2 linked regions of the Saccharomyces cerevisiae S288C genome follow. The gene in region 1 interacts genetically with each later gene. Each region holds a gene or a part of one and is shown on either strand. Other genes may lie near its edges.

Region 1 (4,574 bases):
TGCATTGGTAATGAGAGGTGCTGGCTGCACCATCAACGATTTTTTGGATAGAAAGTTGGATCAAAGAGTTATCAGGTCCGTCGAGAGGCCTATCGCCTCTGGTAGAGTGAGCCCCCGTCGGGCGTTAGTATTCTTGGGGGCTCAAACTCTTGTTGGAATGGGCGTTCTATCTTTGCTTCCTGCGCAGTGTTGGTGGCTAGGCCTTGCATCGTTACCTATTGTGTTCACATACCCTTTGTTTAAGCGGTTTACGTACTATCCTCAAGCTGCATTAAGTGCATGTTTCAATTGGGGAGCGTTACTTGGGTTTCCTGCCATGGGTGTAATGAGCTGGCCTACAATGATACCTTTGTACCTGAGCAGTTACTTGTGGTGTATGACTTACGATACTATATACGCACACCAGGATAAAAAGTTTGACATCAAGGCTGGAATCAAGTCTACCGCTTTGGCTTGGGGTCCACGCACAAAGTCTATCATGAAGGCCATGTCCGCGTCTCAAATCGCACTGTTAGCTGTCGCCGGCTTGAACAGTGGGTTGTTATGGGGGCCTGGGTTCATTGGTGGACTAGGAGTCTTCGCTTATAGACTCTTCAGCATGATAAAGAAAGTGGATCTTGACAATCCTAAAAACTGCTGGAAGTATTTTAATGCAAATATCAACACCGGACTTTACTTTACGTACGCCTTGGCAGTCGACTACATCTTGAGACTGTTTGGATTCTTGTAGATATAGCGTGCATATACAAGTGTTTAATTGTTCTTTTATTCGATTATTATTTACATGCATTCTTACGTAGATGTCCGTACCTATTTGGGCTTCACGATATTCTTGATGGATGATCTAGAATTCCCCGAGTGAAATAGGGTCTTGGCAGACGTATGTGAAAGGATCTGAGTTAATATTGACCTGTTCAATAGCTTATTTTCTGCCACACTGTTGAAAAAGCAGTCCAAGATCCTGGCGTCATTCTTCACAACGCTACCAGATCTCGAGAAAATGTAAAATTTATTGAAAAATGAGGGTGCTTTTTCATCCACTGTGAAGAAAACAAAGGTGGCCTTATCCTCCATACCTTGAGAACCTACTCCTGTGAAGATCTTGGTGGCCTTATTTTTAGACAGTTCATTGATCTCCCTCGTGATAGAAACTGGTCTTCCTAACAAGTAAGTGCGTCGAGTCAATTGACACCGTGGCACCGTACTATTCTTGAGCGGTGGCAGATATTTCATTTCTGTGACTAGTCTTGACGTTACGTGTTTCGTGGCAGCAGCGAGGATCACAGGCAAAACCCCTAAAGCCACAGGCCCAAAAGTTTTGCACTTGAACCACGGGCTGTGTTTTTCTTCCTCAGTAGCGTTTCCGTACACTTCTCGAGCAGTTCTCCACGACATATCAGTGTATGCAGCGCCATATGTGAGAAACACTACAGCTAGAGCAGTTGAAGCCCATCGTATCGACCGTGGTACCTTATACTGGAACACAGGCTTTTTTCCTCCGTTACGTCCGACTTCTTCGATTAGCTGCGCTAGTGTGAAGCTGCTTCCTTTGAACTGATTCTTGGCAGCCATGTTTGTCATACCCTAGTCCACATAAGATAACTAAATGCACCTTCTTATGTTATAATGTAGCTAAAATGAGAGATGATGATCTTTATTGTTCTCGAATTTCAGCGCGGGTAACGCAACCTCAAAAAGTTTTCCACAAGTGTCCTATTGCGTAATATCAAGAATATTCATTACTGAAAATGATGAACCTTGAAGGTATTTTTGTTACTAAGAGAGAAAAAGTGAATATTTAGTGACTTGTGAGCGAGATTATAGAATAGGGAAAGAGCTATGGAGACGCCGCAAATGAACGCTATACAAGAGGAGGACAATTTGTCTCCGGAAGTTGCTTTCCAGACTCCTAAATTGAATGATTCCGATGCTTCATCGTTTTCTTTGTCCAATATGAACGCTGTCGGGAATGTAGACGGTATACCATCCCAAAACAGGACATTTTTTGCATCACCTAGGCCCAGTTCCCTATTTTATTCTGCCAAGGAAGGTAACAATTCCAGTTCTAGTATCATCTACAATCCTTCGTTCACTTTTGGTGAAAACGCTTCTAGTAATGCTAATATCAATGAAGCTGCTTTGATGAAGGGAAAAGGCAACGAAGGACGAAGGCAATCACTCAAATATATACCAGCACCAAAGCTGGTGCCGCCTCCTCCCAGAACAAGATCACCGGTAAGAGGCATTTCCCCCGATGCTGGCAGCAGTAAGAGGTCTTCTATGACCTTGGATTCTCCCTTTAATTTTACGACATCAACGCTGCAACCGCATCAACAGACACCACCCTCTTCAGCTGCATCAAGGACCTCATTTCGTAAGGGGCATCGTTATAAGCATTCCTCTGTATCCATGAATTTTTTTCAAGAGCCTGAGGTGAAAATTCCTTTGAACATTGCCAAATCTCTTCCCATTCCAGATTTCAATGATTTGCTGTCAAATTTGCCATGGCCAAAGGCTTATATTCAGTTATCTATTGCCGCTCTACAAATCTTTGCATGTCTGATTACTTTCCAAGTCGGACACCTGTACTCATGGAGTAATTTTATTACACTATCGCATTTTATTACTTACGATATCATCGGTTCGCTGGTAATCATATTTGTGGAAAATTTGTCTCAGTTCCAGGTATGGTTTACAGGCACTATCACATTTCCATTCGGGTTAAATAGAATAGACGTTCTACTAAGTTTTGCGCTTGCCGTTTCGTTATGCTTTGTTGGGCTGGACCTTTTATTCCATATAATTGAAGAATTCATAGTCCTCTTTGTAGAATCTGGTAGTTCTTTGACGAATAACCATGATCACGATGAAATTAATGAGCAAATTCCTCATTCCCACATTGCCAATGCCAATGATTCACAAAACGAGAATATTACCTTATGGTATAGCATACTAATGATCAATTTAGTGTTATCGACGTTATCACTTTATAAGACGTTTTATGCTAACAAATACAGTAATTTAAAGACGAAGAACCCGATTATTACCATCACTTATACAGCATACCTATTCATTTATCCCCTACTATTGGATCTGTTATCGAGTATATCCGATTACCTTGCTACTTTGGTTATTTCGAGTTTAATTCTATGGCATGGGCTGACTATAGCACGGTGGACCTCGACAGTGTTACTAATGGGATTTTCCACCACATCTTTATCCAATTCAGCGTTATTCAATAATAATGACAGCACTGATACGACCGCCCATACTCAACAAGTCGAGTCTAAAGCTGCTAAAGAAAAACCATCTGTACGACCAAGATCAATGAGCTCACTACCTATAGCAACAAAGAATACAAAGATACGGAAAACTGGGTTTTTGAATTCTGCAGGTTTCACTGAAAATCCAACAACCATTAAGAACATGATCAAGGACCAAATCGAGAGATTAAGTGAGTTTAAATCCAGATACATCCTAAATTACGATGATATAGTAATAAGCAAAGTGAATTTTACGCTTTATGTGGTACTGATCAAGATAACAATGAAAGGAGGCTCCGACGATGACGAATTGATGTTAAGGTTAGCCATTGACAAGTGCATTCAAACGAGCATTCCAACGTGTGAAACTACAATAGACATAGACCGAATATAATTTTACAGTTACATACCCATCAATACATACATATTAATATTACTATACTCAGGAGTTATTAGAATGAGACTAAAAAAAAAAATGTTTGAATGTTATAAATGAATGGATGCGAAGGTGGAAAGTGAGAAATTAAGCTTGTGCGGTGTTATTGTGATAGTTTTTCAAACTTTCTAGAGACGAAGTATATAGTTCAGAATCAGATTCCAATAGGGTAAAATCGAGTTCTAATGGCTGGACAGATTTACCGTCTCTATCTAGATCTTTGTTTAAGTCATCGAAAAACGTTCTTTCACCTCTACCTACTAGTAAGTTATAAGCGGAACCAAGTTCGTTAGCTCTTGCTGTTCTACCAACACGATGGACATATTGTTGAGAAGACATTGGTGGGTCATAGTTTATTACTTGAGTGATATCGTTAATATCAATACCACGGGACATGATATCGGTAGTAATTAAGATGGTAATGCCTGCGCTTTCCGAGTGATGCGAGAAGTTCGCAACAATTTTTTTATTTTCTGCTTTGGAGTTGTTTGAATTGACAGAATTAATACTCACCGCCAAATTTTGAAGGTTTTTCAATACGCTGGATTGTGAGCGAGATTCACAGATAAGTTGTAGTAACTTGCTTAATCTGATAGACGATTCATTTGATTTAACGAAAATCAAAATCTTTGCAGCAATGGGGGAATGTGCCATAAATTGGCATATTGAATACAACAATATCAATGGCTTGTAAACACTTTTCGCCGTGGGAATGTTGATGTTAAATTCATTCAATTTGTTAGGTAGCTGGTACAATTTATCGGTTTGCTTCAGGAACAACTTTGGTTTGTAAAGGTTCAAGCCGTTTAACTTTTCTGTGTTGGTAGTCAATGTCGCACTGAAGATCATTTTGATCACGTTCCCTGGAAGTGTAT
Region 2 (5,515 bases), on another chromosome or scaffold:
AGATATAAATCGAGAATTCTTGTTTATTTAATCGTTAATCTAAAAGGTGTAAGATATTTCTTAACGGGTCTTTGTTCTTTATTGTTTAATAATACATATGGGTTCGACGACGCTGAATTTCAACTCAGAGAGGAATTGTTCACGTTTGCGTTTGTTGTTACGTCCATGGATGTCGTAGTAGAAATTTGGCCAGTGAGTTGAGTTCTTTGTAATTGCGGGGCGCTTTCACCTAAAATCGAGCTCGTAGCTTGTAAAGACTTTTTCACCTTCTGTGCTTTTATCCCCCTCGGGTCAATTGATGAAGATTCAGGAGCAGGTATTTCTCCAAATTTGGACATGTGCAATTGCAGCTGTCTTGTCACAGAGGCGCCTCGTCTAATCTTACTCAATTTACCAGCATTCCACTTGTTCAAAAAATCACGCCTGACTTCATCGCTAATTTTCCAATTCATCCCTTTACCTTGTTGACCAGCTCTTTTGGGCACCTTCTCGAAGGCTTTATTTAGGGACAGATTATGCCTCACGGAGTTCTGCCACGCCATTTGAGAAAACCTGTAAAATGCGTAGTTGTCAGAGATAAATTTGTAAATATCCGCTAATGAAATACTACCTTCGGGTGTTGAAAGAATGGCTTGGGTGATCATCGATGCATACGACTGTGGTGGTTTGATATATCTGTTTTCATCCAGCGACAAGTCTGATGGATTTTCTATATGGGGTACATTACCGTTAGTGACAGCATTGTTGCTACTGGACGTGTATGTATTCGGTCTAATTCCTCCTCTGGTGTAATTTTCATCTTCTTCATCTTCTTCCATCATAATCGTGTCTCCATGTGGATCCCCTATTGGGTTAACATCTGATGATGACGATAATGGGGTGTGTAGGTGGTCCAGCTGTTGTAATCGAGCCTCTTCCTGTAACCTTTGCTCTCTTAAATAGGTAGAACCTTCGATAATGTTACGTAGCAACGGGTTGTTGTTACCATTCGTACCATAAGTAGATAGTAATTTGGGCATGAGGTGATTCAGGCAATAATCCGATATAATAGTTTCTTGTTCCGGCAATATAAAGATCATTTGCACACCACCTATGTCTATGATACAACCAGACTGTAGCACCGTAGGAGGAGAGTCTGGACCTGTGGGAATCCTTCTAAAATTGACCTTAGCACCATTTCTACCGAATATCTGTAATTCCCATGATCCGCTCTCCAGGTTGAATCTGATTGCAGCATGCTTCCTAGACACAATTTTGGCAGGACCAAGATCAATGTCTATATTCTTCTTCACGACTGTACCGGGCACAGCATTCAAGTTCAAGCTGTCTGTGTTCCTACCAATGGTAACTTCTAATTTTTGTACATAATACGTCCAATCACATCCGGCAATTTTAGCATAAGCGTTGACCTCTCTGGCAATACTCAAGCTATTGGAATAGTCACTTGACACAGCCACAGGATCGCTTGACGAGCTAAGAACACATGTCACCGCATTAACAAGCCCTTGGCGATCCTGGGCTGTATACGAACTATACTTACCACTAAATTTTTGTTCCCTACTGGTAACAGACATTTATTATTACTGTGTCTCTCCAAGCCTTTCTTTGCTAATTGAACGCACAATTTACACACTATTATTTAAACCTTCAATCTTCTATAGAGCCGGTATTCATCTAAACCTCTTACCATCCTGTTCTCTCTATACCGTTTCTGATTTGTTTATGTTTTTCCATTTTTTTGTTTACCTCATCCATGGATCATAACCTATTTCGTAACTTTTTTAGACCTATCATATATGCTATATTTCCGTTCAAGCCCTTAAAAAACATTTTATAAGACCTACGCTCTTCAAGCCCTAGTGATTTCTTTTTTTCTTTTTTTTTTTTTTGGTAATTTTTTTTTCAAAAGTGACTACAGTAATGAGGTTTGTCTACCTGGACATGACCTTCTATTGTTGAGTAGTTCCTTGCATTGAAGACAACCAGTAATCGAATTTTTTATAAAGCGGTTAGAAAATCTCGAAGAGGTTAACATATAGAAAAAAAGCCTCTTTTTATTTGAGTTCCATAAGGTAAGAGACAAAGAAAAAGGAGCGCATATTATAATTGATAAGGGCGTTATGCCAGAACAAGCGCAACAAGGGGAACAGTCTGTCAAGAGAAGAAGGGTCACTAGAGCCTGTGATGAATGCAGAAAGAAAAAAGTTAAATGTGATGGTCAGCAACCATGTATCCATTGTACTGTGTACTCTTATGAATGTACTTATAAGAAGCCTACGAAGAGAACACAGAACTCCGGAAACTCCGGAGTTCTAACACTGGGCAATGTTACTACTGGTCCATCATCAAGTACTGTGGTGGCAGCCGCCGCTTCCAATCCAAATAAACTCCTCTCAAACATTAAAACAGAAAGGGCTATTTTACCGGGTGCTTCTACAATACCTGCAAGTAACAATCCATCTAAACCAAGAAAGTATAAGACTAAGAGCACAAGGTTACAATCGAAGATTGACAGGTACAAGCAAATATTTGATGAGGTCTTCCCGCAGTTACCTGATATAGACAATCTGGATATTCCTGTGTTCTTGCAGATCTTTCACAATTTTAAGAGGGACTCGCAGTCGTTTTTAGATGACACTGTGAAAGAATATACTTTAATCGTAAATGACAGTTCTTCTCCGATCCAACCAGTACTTTCTTCAAATTCAAAAAACTCCACTCCAGACGAATTTTTACCTAACATGAAAAGTGACTCGAATAGCGCCTCCAGCAACAGGGAACAAGACAGTGTAGATACCTACTCCAATATCCCCGTTGGTAGAGAAATAAAAATAATTCTACCACCAAAAGCGATCGCTTTACAATTCGTGAAAAGTACTTGGGAACATTGCTGTGTTCTTCTCCGATTTTATCACAGACCATCGTTCATTAGACAATTGGATGAGTTGTATGAGACAGACCCAAACAATTATACGTCTAAGCAAATGCAATTTTTACCATTGTGCTACGCTGCAATCGCTGTGGGAGCATTATTCTCGAAATCCATTGTCTCAAATGACTCGTCAAGGGAAAAGTTTCTACAGGATGAAGGTTACAAGTACTTCATTGCAGCAAGGAAACTAATCGACATTACAAATGCCCGTGACTTGAATTCCATACAAGCAATTTTAATGCTGATTATATTCTTACAATGTTCCGCACGTTTATCAACGTGTTACACTTATATCGGTGTCGCCATGAGAAGTGCTTTGAGAGCAGGCTTTCATAGGAAATTGAGCCCCAATTCTGGTTTTAGTCCAATAGAAATTGAGATGAGGAAACGCCTTTTTTATACAATCTATAAACTGGACGTTTATATCAATGCAATGCTGGGCCTACCGAGATCTATTTCCCCCGACGATTTTGACCAAACTCTCCCCCTGGATTTATCAGATGAGAATATCACTGAGGTGGCGTACCTACCTGAGAACCAACACTCCGTTTTATCAAGTACGGGGATTTCGAATGAACATACAAAACTATTTTTGATTTTAAATGAGATCATTTCTGAACTATATCCGATAAAAAAAACTAGTAATATAATTTCTCATGAGACAGTTACTAGCTTGGAATTAAAGTTGAGAAATTGGTTGGATTCGTTGCCCAAAGAACTGATACCTAACGCAGAAAATATTGATCCTGAATATGAAAGGGCAAATCGTTTATTACATTTGTCTTTTTTGCACGTTCAGATAATATTATACAGGCCTTTTATTCATTATTTATCACGCAACATGAATGCTGAAAATGTAGATCCCTTATGTTACCGGAGAGCCCGGAACTCTATTGCCGTGGCTCGAACGGTTATTAAGTTAGCAAAAGAGATGGTTAGTAATAATTTATTAACTGGTTCATACTGGTATGCCTGTTATACAATTTTTTACTCCGTTGCAGGTCTCTTATTTTACATCCATGAGGCGCAATTGCCTGATAAGGATAGTGCTAGAGAATATTATGATATTTTGAAAGACGCAGAAACTGGTAGAAGCGTTCTTATTCAACTCAAGGATTCTAGTATGGCCGCTAGCAGGACTTATAATTTATTGAACCAAATTTTTGAAAAACTAAACTCAAAAACTATCCAGCTTACTGCGTTACATTCATCACCATCCAACGAAAGTGCCTTTTTAGTGACTAATAATTCCTCCGCTTTGAAACCTCATTTAGGAGATTCATTGCAACCACCCGTATTCTTTTCTTCCCAGGATACGAAGAATAGCTTTTCATTAGCTAAGAGTGAAGAAAGCACCAATGATTACGCTATGGCTAATTACCTAAATAATACACCTATTTCCGAAAATCCTTTAAATGAAGCACAACAGCAAGATCAAGTATCCCAAGGAACGACTAACATGTCTAATGAAAGAGATCCGAACAATTTCTTATCTATTGATATCAGACTTGATAATAATGGCCAATCAAATATTCTTGATGCCACAGATGACGTCTTTATCAGGAATGACGGCGACATCCCTACTAACAGTGCATTCGATTTTAGCAGCAGTAAGAGCAATGCATCAAATAACTCCAACCCAGATACCATTAACAACAACTACAATAATGTTAGTGGCAAAAACAATAATAACAATAATATTACTAACAATAGTAATAATAATCACAACAACAACAACAACGACAACAACAACAACAATAATAATAATAATAATAATAATAATAACAATAACAATAGTGGTAATAGTAGTAATAATAATAACAATAATAACAATAATAAAAATAATAATGACTTCGGCATTAAGATTGATAACAATTCACCGTCTTATGAAGGGTTTCCCCAGTTACAAATACCGCTTTCACAAGACAATTTGAACATAGAAGATAAAGAGGAGATGTCACCTAATATTGAAATTAAAAACGAACAAAATATGACTGACTCAAACGATATTCTTGGAGTATTCGATCAGTTAGATGCTCAGCTATTTGGGAAATACCTACCTTTAAATTACCCCTCTGAATGAAAACGTTATCTTTGATTTATATTCTATAATATCGTGGCTACAGCACTTGCTGAACATAAGCTTAAAACGTTTATGTGTGTATTTATATATGATAATAATAATAATAATAATAATAATAATAATAATAATAATAATAATAATAATAATAATGGTGATAAACTGCAATAACAAAAGAAAATAGTACCAATCCTGGATCTAGTTTTCCCTAAAATCCAATTTTTACTTATCAGCCTCACTTCCTAAACTACCTCACCTTCAAAAGCTCGATAATTAAAAGAAAACATGAATAATATAGTAAACAATGATAATAGTTTCTCTATAAGATTATCTAATTTTCGAACAGTATTAGCTATATGCGAAATATCTTCATCATTGGTACCTTATCATAAACCAAGGCCTGCTTTATATTTATTTGAACGAAAAAATTAACTTATATTCTTGGCTTTCCATTCCTGTTTATTTTCACAGCAAATGAATCAGCCAAATGAGTTTTAAATGAA

Evidence for each region. Genes that interact genetically often act in the same process or in processes that back each other up.
Region 2: mutations in ZRG17 (region 1) and ASG1 together harm fitness more than expected from each alone (negative genetic interaction), as found in Saccharomyces cerevisiae (2 studies listed by BioGRID).

Annotation. Positions count from the first base shown.
Region 1 is NC_001146.8:696,697-701,270, reverse strand, and holds ZRG17 (Zn(2+) transporter ZRG17), read left to right. Parts: upstream 1-1,839; coding exon 1,840-3,657; downstream 3,658-4,574. Other genes in the region: COQ2 (4-hydroxybenzoate octaprenyltransferase), read left to right, coding at 1-730; MRX15 (Mrx15p), read right to left, coding at 811-1,581; putative ATP-dependent RNA helicase DBP6, read right to left, coding at 3,787-4,574.
Region 2 is NC_001141.2:100,662-106,176, forward strand, and holds ASG1 (Asg1p), read left to right. Parts: upstream 1-2,120; coding exon 2,121-5,015; downstream 5,016-5,515. Other genes in the region: forkhead family transcription factor FKH1, read right to left, coding at 120-1,574; TAO3 (Tao3p), read right to left, coding at 5,446-5,515. UniProt on the Saccharomyces cerevisiae protein: Probable transcription factor involved in the stress response.